Macaca fascicularis: one gene and its partners. The protein of the gene in region 1 purifies or fractionates together with the protein of each later gene. This does not show direct contact. Links are inferred from orthologs where the notes say so. Each region holds a gene or a part of one and is shown on either strand. Other genes may lie near its edges.

What was found. The genes of interacting proteins can lie anywhere in the genome.
Region 2: the proteins of ACIN1 (region 1) and SAP18 fractionate together in Homo sapiens (co-fractionation; 7 studies listed by BioGRID and IntAct, with this or other methods). This does not show direct contact. The link is inferred for Macaca fascicularis from reciprocal best matches to the Homo sapiens genes ACIN1 and SAP18.
Region 3: the proteins of ACIN1 (region 1) and RNPS1 purify together in Homo sapiens (affinity purification with mass spectrometry; 6 studies listed by BioGRID and IntAct, with this or other methods). This does not show direct contact. The link is inferred for Macaca fascicularis from reciprocal best matches to the Homo sapiens genes ACIN1 and RNPS1.

The regions. Positions count from the first base shown.
Region 1 is NC_088381.1:90,850,437-90,854,717, forward strand, and holds the start of ACIN1 (apoptotic chromatin condensation inducer in the nucleus), read right to left. Parts: upstream 2,801-4,281; 5' UTR 2,633-2,800; coding exon 2,321-2,632; intron 909-2,320; coding exon 843-908; intron 1-842.
Region 2 is NC_088391.1:793,861-798,124, forward strand, and holds the start of SAP18 (histone deacetylase complex subunit SAP18), read right to left. Parts: upstream 2,801-4,264; 5' UTR 2,789-2,800; coding exon 2,660-2,788; intron 2,455-2,659; coding exon 2,345-2,454; intron 1-2,344. UniProt on the Homo sapiens protein: Component of the SIN3-repressing complex. Enhances the ability of SIN3-HDAC1-mediated transcriptional repression. When tethered to the promoter, it can direct the formation of a repressive complex to core histone proteins.
Region 3 is NC_088394.1:3,040,702-3,044,912, forward strand, and holds the start of RNPS1 (RNA-binding protein with serine-rich domain 1), read right to left. Parts: upstream 2,801-4,211; 5' UTR 2,743-2,800; coding exon of another isoform or gene 2,741-2,742; 5' UTR 1,549-2,740; exon of another isoform or gene 811-1,548; intron 1-810. UniProt on the Homo sapiens protein: Part of pre- and post-splicing multiprotein mRNP complexes. Auxiliary component of the splicing-dependent multiprotein exon junction complex (EJC) deposited at splice junction on mRNAs.

The DNA.
Region 1 (4,281 bases):
ACATTATAAAGAGGGGATTTTCAAAAACTGAAAGAAACTTTAAGAGACTGTGCAGCCTTATAATTTTTGGATTTTAACTGTGGAATAATTTAAAAGACATCTTATGCAGAAACTCAATAGTCAAAGCGGATAAAAGTAGATCTAATCTAGTTTAAGAGAGAAGTATGAGCCTTGCTTACTTGAGAAAAAGGTATTTATTTCCCCTAAGAAGCTCCCCAAAGCAGCTCCACAAAACCCCGAGAGCAGTTATAAACCCATGGGTTTAGTTTGACTTTTTCTCATATTACAGATAAGGAAATGGAGGAAACCAAGGCCTCCAAAGGTTAAGTTTCTTATCCTAAGTAAAGGAACTATTAGTAATGCTTATGAATAAGTGCATTGAGTTAGTAGTTAACACTAGTAATGGTGGGTGACTTACACAGGATTGAATCCTTGGTAAATCTACATCAACAAGAGTTCTTAATTAGCAACTATTTTCCTACACTGTCACATTGGTGGTCTACTTCATATCTATACTCAAAGACATCAACTACCTTTCCTAAATTCATGGCAGATAAATGACTTCAGATCTCTGTACTACACGTAATTAATGGAAGCCACACCTTTCTGCACATACCATTTCAATTATTATAAACTAATAGCGCCTTTGATTCTGTTCTTTACTCCAGGCCCTTGTATACAACTGGGTGATTCGAATTCAACTGTCCTGGTTTGAGAACATTTCTGACCAAGGGAACTTAGGAAAATAGTCGTGAGGAATTAAGCATGAAATATACAACACCACGTCCTGCCATGTGTCTGTATATCCAAAGAGCCCACTCCATTGAATAAACCTTTCTCACCTGGGAATTTGGCTGGAATGCAGCATGGGGTGTTGAGTGTTTCTGTAAATTTTCTAGCATTAGAGCCTGGTATAGAGAAGGGTAAAAGTCAGAAATGATGAGGAAAAAAAAAGAAAAACTCCCACCTCTACCACAACCTCTTAATTAAATGCAATGACTTAAATACACACAATTAAACTGTATTCCCCTTCCAGGGACCTGAAAATCCTTTACTGACACTGTTCTCATTCATCACCAGAAGACCCTTAAAGGTAGCCACGGTTACTGTTACTAAACGTACAGATATAAAATGCAGGCACACAGAATCAGTGACCTGGCTATGTCACAATATCAGTAATAGAACCAGTACTAAAATCCCTGTTGTCTTCTGCACTTGTGCCAAGTGCCCCTTCTAAATCTGATCATGCAGGTAAAACTACTTAAAAATACTCAAACCAGCAGCCATGGGGCTCCTGGTTTTTGCCTGATGGAATTACTTGGTCAAAGGGTTACCCAGGACTAGAGTCAATTTGTATAATTTCCAGTACTGTGGCACCTAGATTTACCAAATTTACAAAATTTTCAAAGAGGAGGCTACAGAAGAAAATGACCAGAGACCCTGTGAACTGTGGTCTAACCTAGTCCGTCCATCCACACACACACACACACACAATCAGCTTCTGTATAAGCAACGGTCTGCCAACTCAACCCTGGAGCCAACCCAGACCTAATCTGCACTACCTGCCACGTATCCTATTGAACTCTAATTAAAACCAAGACATCCTCATCTTCCCTTCTTTAAACCAAACCTATACACTCGAATCGATCTACACCTACCTCATGACATTCCCACCTTAATCTACTTAAACTGATTCAAAATCCCCAATATGTATCAACCTGCCTCGCCTCTCTCACCAATATTCACCAAACTCTTAACTACCCAAATTGCCACTAGATGCCCTATAAATTAGACACCTCTCTCATCAAGTCCCTTCACATAAAGGTCTCTCTTCATCTCACCTCATCTAATCGAGCAGACATTTTACCCTACCCCAATCCTATTCCTGCAGATACCGATACCAACCCCATCCACCCCTCCGCGCAACTATACCCCTAACTCCGACCCAGCCCAACTCGCCCCCCTCAGGCCAGCGACGCCGTAGGTTGTAGTGGGATTTAACTCCTTCTGCAGCGCATGCGCCGAAACCACAGATACAAACAAGGAGGGGGTGGGGGAAGGAGGAAGGAGCTTAAGACACTCCTGGAGAGTAGTGCACACCCTCCCATTTGGGCTCGCGCTGCTGCCGTTAAGGCGGGAACCGGCGCGATCGCCATTCCAGCGCGAACCTCACCAACCACCGTGCGCGCGGATCCAGAGGCTCGCGCTGGCGGCCTGAGCGAGCTCGCGCCGAGCCCGGATACTGCGCCTGCGCCGCGGCAGAGGCTCGTCTCTACCGGGTCCGCTCTCCTCCGACACCCCAGCAACGCCGACTCCTCACCCCTTTGAGCCGCTTGACCAGGGCACTCTTCTGCCCGCTCTTGGCTAGGCCTCGCTGCTCCAGTGCGGCCTTCAGGTCGGTCACCCGCAGCGCCTGAAGAGGCTTCCCGTCCAGAGTCACCTCCTCCAGCTCCGCCATCTTGCGTGAGGTACTCGGGTCCGTCCCGACGGCTTCGGGCATCTTCGGTAATTTCCGCCAACGCCCTTCGAACGTACCGAGATGACCCCGCCCACTGCCATACTCTACCCCTCGATTACCACTCAGAACTCCCCGGCTTCCTCCGGATGTCCTCGGATATTTCCGTCTCCACATCGGCACCAATCAATTCTTTCCATCCGCCCTGCAGCTCCCCTATTCTCGCCCTGCTTTCAGGCTCGGTTTTCTTCGTCTTGCCGAAGCTTTGAATCGAATATATTCGGAAGCCCTCGACTCTGGTATAACCATAATCGGAGATGTTCGTTTATCTCCGGACCTAGAGATGAGGCGCTGGGGCTCTTGGGTGTTTGGGGCGGGTCCGAGGCCGGAAGTGCGTGGGCTGCCGGGCTGGCCCAGCTTAGGGTTTTCAGGAAATTTGGAAGCTGCAGCGGTAGTTGGAGTCTAAGGACTCCTGACAATCTTCGGGTGCTCTCCGAGAGAAAAGGGGAGGTAAGCGGGGTGGAAGTACCTCTATGGGCCGGGTCAGACTCGGTGTTTGCGGACTATCCTAATAGGGCAAGCCACCTACTTCTTAACGCAAACAGCTTCTGCCCTCTGTCCTCTGAATCCCAGCCACTCCCATCTTAGGCTTTTTTTTTGGTGGGGCCTGTGGAGGGGGGCGGAATCGGAATAACAAGCTCCGTGGCCTCCAAAGTGGGGAAGAGGCAGGCAGCGCCGTGTCTTCAGACCCAGACTATGAACTGATTTATGACGCTCAACTTGAGTTTGAGTTTGCGTTTGCCTGGGAAGCCGTGTGGCAAGAAAATTCTCCATTTCTCCGAAGAAGAGAGTAAGTTCCCTTGGAGGAACTGCTTCCTGTAGGGCAAGAACTGAAAAATGCAAGCGCCCTGAACTTTTTTGGTACTTGAACTCATATTGTTTAGGGGCTTCTTTCTTTGTCACTAGCAATCCTCCAACTTGATGCAGAAGAAACACAAACAGTAAAATAGGTCACAGACAAATGGTTTAGAGATTTAAGAGATATGTTAGAGATTTAAGAGACTGAAAACTATTGAAGTCAAATAGGCTGATCTTTCCGTTGCATTCATGATGCAAAATTAATGTCAAGGCGCCGGGCGCGGTGGCTCATGCCTATAAGCACTTTGGGAGGCCGAGGCAGGCGGATCACTTGAGGTCAGGAATTGGAGACCAATCTGGCCAATATGGTGAAACCCCGTCTCTAGTAAAAATACAAACAAATTAGCCGGGCGTACGCCTATATTCCCAGCTGCTCGGGAGGCTGAGGCAGGAGAATTGCTTGAACCCGGGAAGCGGAGGTTGAAGTGAGCTGAGATCACGCCATTGCACTCCAGCCTGGGCGACAGAGCAAGACTCCGTCTCAAAAATAAATAAATAAATAAATAAATAAATAAATAAATAAATAGCAAGGCACCAATAGATGCCATACTAAAAAAAAAAAATTTTTTTTTGTCACTCCACTCTGGGTCATTCCACTCTGAACCAGGCTAGAGTGCAGTGGTGTGATCAGGGCTCACTACAGCCTCAACCTCCCGGGCTCAGGTGATCCTCCTACCTCAGCCTCCTAAGTAGCTAGGACTACAGTTAGGCACCTCTACGCCCAACGAGTTTTTAAATTTTTTGTAGAGATGAGGTTTTGCCATGTTGCCCAGGCTGGTCTTGAACAACTGGATTCAAGCTATCCTCTTGCCTCGGCCTCCCAAAGTGCTGAGATTACTTTGGAAGTGCAAGAGCCACTGTGTCTGGCCCATACTAAATATTAAGGGCAATTGTTTAAAAACATGGAT
Region 2 (4,264 bases), on another chromosome or scaffold:
AATAGTGCAACTGCTGTGAAAAAGTTTGATGGTTCCTCAAAACTTAAACAAAATTAACATATGACCCAGTAATCCACTCCTAGGTACATACCCAAAATAACTGAAAGCAGGGACACAAACACATTTGTATGCCAATGTTCACAGCAGCATTATTCACAATGGCAAAAAAGATGAAACAATCCAAGTGTCCATCAATAGATGAGTACATGTGATGCACACATACAATGAAATATTATTCAGTCTTGACAAGGCTGAATGGATGCTACAACATCAACCCCGAAAACACCATGAAATAAGCCAGTCACAAAATGACAAACACTGTAACGAGTTCACTGAAATGAAATATCCAGAATAGACAAATTCATATATAGACAGATAATACATTAGAAGCTACCAGGGGATGGGGCGGGGGAGGAATGGGAAATTATTTTTTAATAGGCACGGTGTGTCCTTAAAAGGTTACCAGCACACTGGGCATGGTGGTGTGTGCCTGTAGTCCCAGCTGGTTGAGCCAAGGAGCTCAAATCCAGCTTGGAAAACAGTGCAAGACTCCATCTCTTTAAAAATTAAAACAAGGCAGGATGGCGTACAGGCTTTCTGTTGGAGGGAGGGATAAAAACTTGTAGAAATAGTGGTTGCACAACAATTTGAATGCTATTAATGCCAACAAATTATACACTTAAAAACAGTTAATGACCATGCACGCTGGCTCACGCCTGTAATCCTACACCACTTTGGGAGGCCGAGGCGGGCGGATCGCTTGAAGTCAGGAGTTCCAGACCAGCCTGGCCAACATGGTGAAACCCTGTCTCTACTAGAAATACAAAAATTAGCCAGGTGTGGCGGTGGGCGCCTGTAATCCCAACTACTGGGGAGGCTGAGGCATGAGAATCCCTTGAACCCGGGAGGCAGAGGTTGCAGTGAGCCGAGATGGGCGCCACTGCACTCCAGCCTGGGCGACAGAGTGAGACTCAAGAAATAAGAAATGGTTAACATGGCAAATTTTGTTACATATGCACACACATATGTATTTTGAGACGGAATCTCGCTCTGTCGCCCAGGCTGGAGTACAGTGGCGCGACCTCAGCTCACTGCAACCTCCACTTCCCAAGTTCAAGTGATCCTCCTGCCTCAGTCTCCCAAGTAGCTGCGATTACAATTCTATGCCACCACACAAGGCTAATTTTTGCATTTTTAGTAGACACAGGGTTTCATTATGCCGACCAGACTGGTCTCAAACTCCTGACCTAAAGTGATCCGCCAGCCTCAGTTTCCCAAAGTGCTGGGATTGCAGGCATGAGCCACCGTGCATGGCTTGTTATATAACTTTTTATCGCAATAAAAAATTTATTTTAAGCCAGGCGCGGTAGCTCACACACCTGTAATCCCAGCACTTTGGGAGGCCGAGGCAGGCAGACAACCTGAGTTCAGGAGTTCGAGACCAGCCTGGTCAATATGGTGAAACCTCATCTCTACTAAAAATACAAAAATTAGCCAGGCGTGGTGGTGGGCACCTGTAATCCCACCTACTGGGGAGGCTGAGGCAGGAGAATGGCGTGAACACGGGAGGCGGAGCCTGCAGTGAGCGGAGATGGCGCCACTGCACTCCAGCCTGGGCGAGAGCAAGACTCCGTCTGAAAATATATATATATATACACACACACACATATATATATAGCATATACATATATTTTTCAGTTACACACCTTTTACTTATATTAAAAACCCATTATGGTGTCAATCCAAGGAGTTATGTGCAGCGCTAAAGACAAGCCGGCAGTAGTTTGTAGGGAGATACACCCAAGAGATGAACACTCAGGAACCATCTTCACTAAACACACACCAAAAGCTCTTCCATCAACCCTTAGATAATAACTCGGGTTTTGGTAGTTTATTTTTCACTTTTGGTGCTTTGGTACCTAAGGCTTAATATTACGTGGAAATGCTCTTTGAGAATAACAAACACCACTCGACAGCATCACTCTCCCTTACCATGCTGTCCTAGTGCAATTTATTTGACCATGAGTCCCTTTAGGGCGGATACTACAACTTAATCATCTACCTATCACTTTTGTACCTAGCAGCCATAACAGTGCTAAATCTTGGGTCTGTGCATTCTTAACCGCCCAAAAGTTGCAACATTAATCACAAAAGCGTTACAATAAAGGCAAATCTCCTTTCACCTAACAACAAAAACTTCTAACTTCCCGAAAGTTGAGCCTGAAGACCCCAAGTGGAGGAATGAAATTTAAATCAAGGAGAATAACTCTCTACACTGGCAAAGGCAATTAACTGTTGTTCCAGGTTCCCGGCCCGGGTCCGAGCCCGCCCCCGCCCTCCTCACCAAGTGTAGATCTGCAACTCGCTGGACGGTACATTTCCCCGGGAGAACTCGTCCATTCGGTGGTGGCGGCCGTTATTGGTGGTGAAGACCCGCAGCAACAGTGGGCATGTCTGAGGGCGAGAGAAAAACGGAACGGCAGAAGTTAAAGACACCAGCTGCGAGCCCGGACCTCACCTCTCTTCCCGAGGCGTTGCGGCCTCCGAGCCGTCCGGATACCAAAAACACCGTCTCCTCCCGCACACAGGCCGCGCCTCTGCACCCTGCCGGGCCCACCCCCAATCTCTTCCCGGACCCCAAAGCGGAGGGGACCTTCACCTTCTCGCGGTCGATTGGCTTCTCTGGCTCCTTCTTAATTTCCTCCTGGGTAACGCGCGACTCCACCGCCATCTTCCTCCTACGGCCCGCTAGACGCTCGCCCTGACCTCCGACCCCTGCAGCGAGCATGAGCACGAAGTCTCTCGCGAGGAGAAGCTCGACACTTTATAGTCGGGCAGTGGCTGGGCGGGGCGTATCCTGGCGCAGGCGCACTTCCGTTCGTGGCGTGCGAGCCGGGCGCGCCTGCGTGTTGCGACTTCGGGAAAAGGTGGGTGCTGGCCTCAGTGGGGAGGAGCGGTTTAGCCTCCGTCGCCTGGCAGTTGGTTGCCGGGGTGTTTTTTTTTTCCCTTAAATATTCACAGGCGAAATAAGCTTAAGGTGGCGTTTTCACTCGTAATGACGAAAACCTTATTGGACACAAAACGTTCCTTTATTAGCAAAATATAGATCTTTCTGATAAAAGAACAGGTCCGCCATACCCGCCCCTGAGGTAAGCCGGAAGAGGCGTCGCCAGCGTACGTGGTCATGGAGCGATCCTTCCAGCCACATACACGGCGGCTTAGAGACCGGAATGCGAGCAGGAAACCCGGAACTTGTAGGAAATAACGTTCTAGAATATCTTCAGGACCTATGGATGGGAATATATGATAGAAAAAACTAACGAGAAGCAATTGATTTGACTGGGTTAGGACAAAAATAATCTGACCTTCAAAACTCCGTGATGAACAAACTCCATGATGAACCCAAAATGCCAAGTATATGACTGAACTTAAAAGTGATATCATCTTACGACTGAAAAGTGGGAAAAAAAAATACATCATAAGAGAGAAAAAAGCCACAGAGTGGGAGAAATTTGTTACACATATGATTGACAAAGGCAATTATCCAGAATATATAGGATGTAAACAGACAACCCAATCGAAAAATGGATAAAATTACTGAACAGGTGCTTTGGAAATGACAAAATCCAGAGAGGCAACAAACATGTAAGGTGAGCAAGCGCATTACAAATCAGGGAAATGCATTAAAACCATGATTAGTTTCAATTGACTGGTTTTTAAGCCACACCCACTAGATTGGCAAAAATTAGGAACTCTGGCCAGGCGTGGTGGTGGCTCACGCCTGTAATCCCAGCGTTTTGGAAGGATGAGGCAGGCGGATCACCTGACCTCCTGACTCCCGACTTGAGGTCAGGAGTTTGAAACAAGCCTGGCCAACACGATGAGGCTCCGGCTCCACTAAAAATACAAATAAAAATAAAAATAAAAACGGCCGGGCGCGGTGGCTCATGGCTGTAATCCCAGCACTTTGGGAAGCCGAGGCGGGCAGATCACGAGGTCAGGAGATCCAGACCATACTGGCTAACACGGTGAAACCCTGTCTCTACTAAAAATACAAAAAAAAAAAAAAAATTAGCCAGGCATGGTGGCGGGGGCCTGTAGTCCCACCTACTCCAGAGGCTGAGGCAGGAGAATGGTGTGAACCTGGGAGGCGGGAGGCGGAGGTTGCAGTGGGCCCAGATGGGCTACAGAGCGAGACTCCGTCTCAATAAATAAATAAATAAATAAATAAATAAATAAGCCAAGAGTGGTGACGAGCGCCTGT
Region 3 (4,211 bases), on another chromosome or scaffold:
TTTTAAAAAGCAGTAATTGCACTGTACTTTAATAATATGCATATTGAGTGTAGGGGAAAATACATGCAAGTCTGCAATTTACTTTGAAAGAAAAACTAAGATTGAGAAAAACTAAGATTGAAAGAAAAACTAAGATTGATAAAAACCATCTAGCAAATACAGCAGAAATATAACTTACAGACTCTTAACCTCTGAGTTTTGTTTTGTTTTTTTTTGAGATGGAGACTTGCTCTGTCACCCAGGCTGGAGTGCAGTGGCACGATCTTGGCTCACTGCAACCTCCACCTCCTGGGTTCAAGCGTTTCTTCTGCGTCAGCCTCCTGAGTAGCTGGGACTACAGGTGCTTGCCATCAAGCCTGGCTAATTTTTGTATTTTTAGTAGAGACAGGGTTTCACCATATTGACCAGGCTGGTCTCCAACTCCTGACCTTGTCATCTGCCAACCTTGGCCTCCCAAAGTGCTGGGATTACAGGCGTGAGCCACCAGACCTGGCCCTTAAGTAGTCTTTATGTGGGTATTAATTGTATAATTTGACGTTCCTGTGCTTTAAAAATTTTTCAAAAATAAGATGAAAAAAAAGTAGGCACTGAAATTGCATGAGAGACTGCCTGCCATGTAAGAGTTTAGCAAAATGCCTGGACTGCAGAATGTGTTCAAATAGCGGTTACTCATTACTCAAAAGCAAACTAATTAGTTATGGGCCCTATTTTCCAGGGACGCCTTCAGTATTTCCAGTAAAGTTCTGCACAAGCTGCAGGAGTTGTTAAGTGCAGCTCTCAGGATGTGAGTCTCAGCTACTTCTGTCTCACCTTCTCCAAGAGCCAGTTGGTAAGGAGGACACAGCACACCAATGGGGTCCTGGTTTCCCTGTGCAGTACCTGCCAGGGGTGCTTCAAAATGCTGCTGAAAACGTGTTCTGACCCAAGAAAGAAAAGCACCTGGCTTTAAACAGTCAAATGAGCCAAGGAGGGCCGAACACCACCTCTGCTGCTCTTGTCCGGGGGTATCATGTTTTGCTTTAGAATAGTAAGGTTCTGCAGACACCCAGCAGATAGTGCCTCGACACTGTTGGTGTCCTCGGACAGTCAGTGAGTATCATTCAGAGTATAATTCAGAGTCTGCAACCAGAGGGCCTGGGTTTGATTTGAGGTTTTACGGTGTAATTTTCGACAAGTCACTTAACCTTTCTCAAGTTTCTTATCAATATGGTGACAATTACAATTCCAACTTTATAGTTACCCAGGGCATTAATGAAAAGCTCAATAATGTTAGGAGCAAGATTTGTAAAGGCTCCTCCCTCCCCCAGACATTTGTCTCCAAAGTCACACGTAATTTCTGAACTCTCAGCAGGGTTCCTGCACTCATCTGCCTTAGGATCACCTGCAGCAGAAATGTCCAATAGAAACAGTGTGAGGAGCCACAAGCATCACCTGAAATTCCTTAGTAGCCACATCACAAAAATGGGTGAAATTTTTAACACTTGACACATCCAAAATATTATCTTTCCAACATATAATCAACATAAAAATCTACTAATAAAAGTTTACTTTTTTTTCATAGTCTTCTAAAACTGGTATGTGTTTTAACATTTCAGTTTTGATGAGCTGTATTTCACATGCTTAGTAGCCACATGTGGCCAATGGCTACTTCACTGGACAGCACAGACCTAGAGTGGAGGTCACACCCGCAGATTTCAGCCCCACCCCCCCAGACTTAAAGATCTGCCCAAATGTACTTTGTGGAATCAAACACCACCAGTTATTCTCAAGCAGTCCAAACACTAAGAACCACTGAGTAAGCGGACGGCTCGCTGGGTGCGGTCGAGTGCTAGAAAGCAAAAGTTGAGGTTCTCTGTTCACCCAAGTTCAGGTACCGGCTCAGGACCTCGGTTACCTCCCCCATCCTCCGGAAAGGTGCGCGTCCAACAGCCAGAGAGAGGAGAGAACAATTAGTTAAATCTCGAGGAGAGGGCGTTTCGGCATAAATCTTCAGAGCACCTTCCCCATTTAAGAGTACATTTCAGGCACAGTTCATGAGAAATCAAGACAAAAAGCCTACTCCACGTTTCTCCTCCATCAACCTTAACCTTCCCGTATCCACCCCTCTGGGATAACCCATCAAACTGAGCTCGGACACCGTGTTCGGTCCATAGTGGGCCGTATCCCCACGGCCTAGCGCCGACAATTGCACACGGGAGTCCGGGAAACGTTCGCGGAGTACACGTTTGAATTAATGACTCCGAAGGATGGATCGGCCGACCTTCCACCGCATCCCACAAAGAAACTCCGCGCCCGCCGGCACCGGCCCGACACGCCGACCTCGCCGCTCCCCGTCCGCGTTCACTCACAACTTCCCCGTCCAGGCGCCGGGCCGCAAGCGCTTCCAGGGCAGCGCCTGGCGTTGGGGGCTTGGGTCTCCGGCCCGGCGGGAGGGCCCCAAGAACGGAGGCCGCGCTCACCGCTGCTCCGAGTCCCGCGGGCCTGGCTGGGCCACCGCCGAGCGGACGAAGCAGAGGCGCCCTTCCGTCCGCGGCGGCCCCGATCACTTCCGGGCCACGGCCTCGACACCTCCCACTCCGCCCGCCCCGGGCCACACTCTTTCTTCTCGGAGCCCGCACCGCGCTGCCAGGCCACCGCCGCACTGCGGGGCTGAGAAGTGGACCGGCTTCACGATGCGTCCTGCCGGGCCTGACGGGCAGCCCCCGAAACACGGATGCGGTCGGATTCCGCCCCAACTTACATCTTCCCGCCGCCACCACCTCCTCCTGCTTTCCTCAGCCTCCGAGGCCGGCGCCGCTCTGACGTCAGAGTCAAGGAGCGGGAAGACGCCGCCGTCCGGCGCGTAGCGATGACGTAAACGCCTGGCCCAATGGGCGCCGGCGGGGAAGTGTTAGACAGTCAAGGCAGTTTGTGGTAGCCGCGTTGGGGACGTTCAGGGTGTCTCCTCGCCGGTAAAGTCCCTGGGACTGACCGGACTGGCTGCACGCTTGCTGGAGCGAGCACATGGGTAGCCTGCTGAGCCTGGGAGGGCCGCGCGATAACCGATGCTCGTCGTCCGGAGCGGAGGGTGTTATCGCGGCCGTGCCCCGCCCCTTTCCTTGCGCGGGCTCCCTGGACCCGCCCGGGCCGATTCTGGCCCCTGTCGCCGGCGGTGGAGGCGGGGCTCCAGGCCCGGCTGTGCTGAGGGCGGCAGGGTGGTCGCACAGGAGGGGTGCGCAGCCTTTGCGGCCTTGCGTGGCGGGGCGTGGGGGCCTGCAGGGCGGAAGTAGCTCGGAGAGACGGGCTGGGGCAGGACTTGCGTTCCTGCGGTCAAAACCCACTGGTGGCGTTTGGGGTGCTCTCGTGGACGCGGCCTCCGCGCAGGCGGACCTCCAGGGTGGGCGCTGCAGGCGGGCTGTGCGGGCAGGAAGAGCAACGAGCTTGAGGATGGGAGATGGGGTGCAACGGGGGGCGTCTCCGGGCAGGTGACACTGCCGCTGAGACTAGAGTGGAAGGGCGCGCCCGGCGGGGGAACAGCAGACGCCGAGGTTCGCTGGAAGCAGGGAAGGGAGGCCGGGGCACAGGCTCGCAGGCCCGCGCCAAATTCTCAGTGGAGGCAGCACGGAGCGTGTGAACGGCGCAGCGCCGAGGCTTCATCTAACGGCCGGTGCAGGGTCCGAGCAGGGAACACTGTCGACCAGGGTCCGACTCTGGGAGAGTCCAGAGGTGGCGCCTCTGGCAGGCACAGAGGAGGGGGTGACGCTGTAGGGGCCCAGGCAGGAGGCTCCGCGTCAACGCCCCACACTGACGCGGCGGAATTTTTTTTTTTTGACAGAGTCTCGCACTGTTGCCCAGGCTGAAGTGCAGCGGTGCGATCTCGGCTCACTGCAACCTCCGCCTCCCGGGTTCAAGCGGTTCTCCTGCCTCCGCCTCCCGAGTAGCTGGGATTACAGGCACACACTACTACACTCGGCTAATTTTTTGTATTTTTATTAGAGACTGGGTTTCACTATGTTGGCCAGACTGGTCGCGAACTTCTGACCTCGTGATCCGCTCCTAGGCTTTCAGGCTCGCTCCAAAAGTGCTCGCTCCTAGGTTCGCCTTGGCCTCCCAAAGTGCTGGGATTACTTTACAGGCGTGAACCACCGCCCCCGGCCGGGTTTTGTTCACTGCTGTGCCTGTTAGGTAGTCGTTGCCCTTTGATTATTTGTGGAGGGATTGACTGTGTGCTC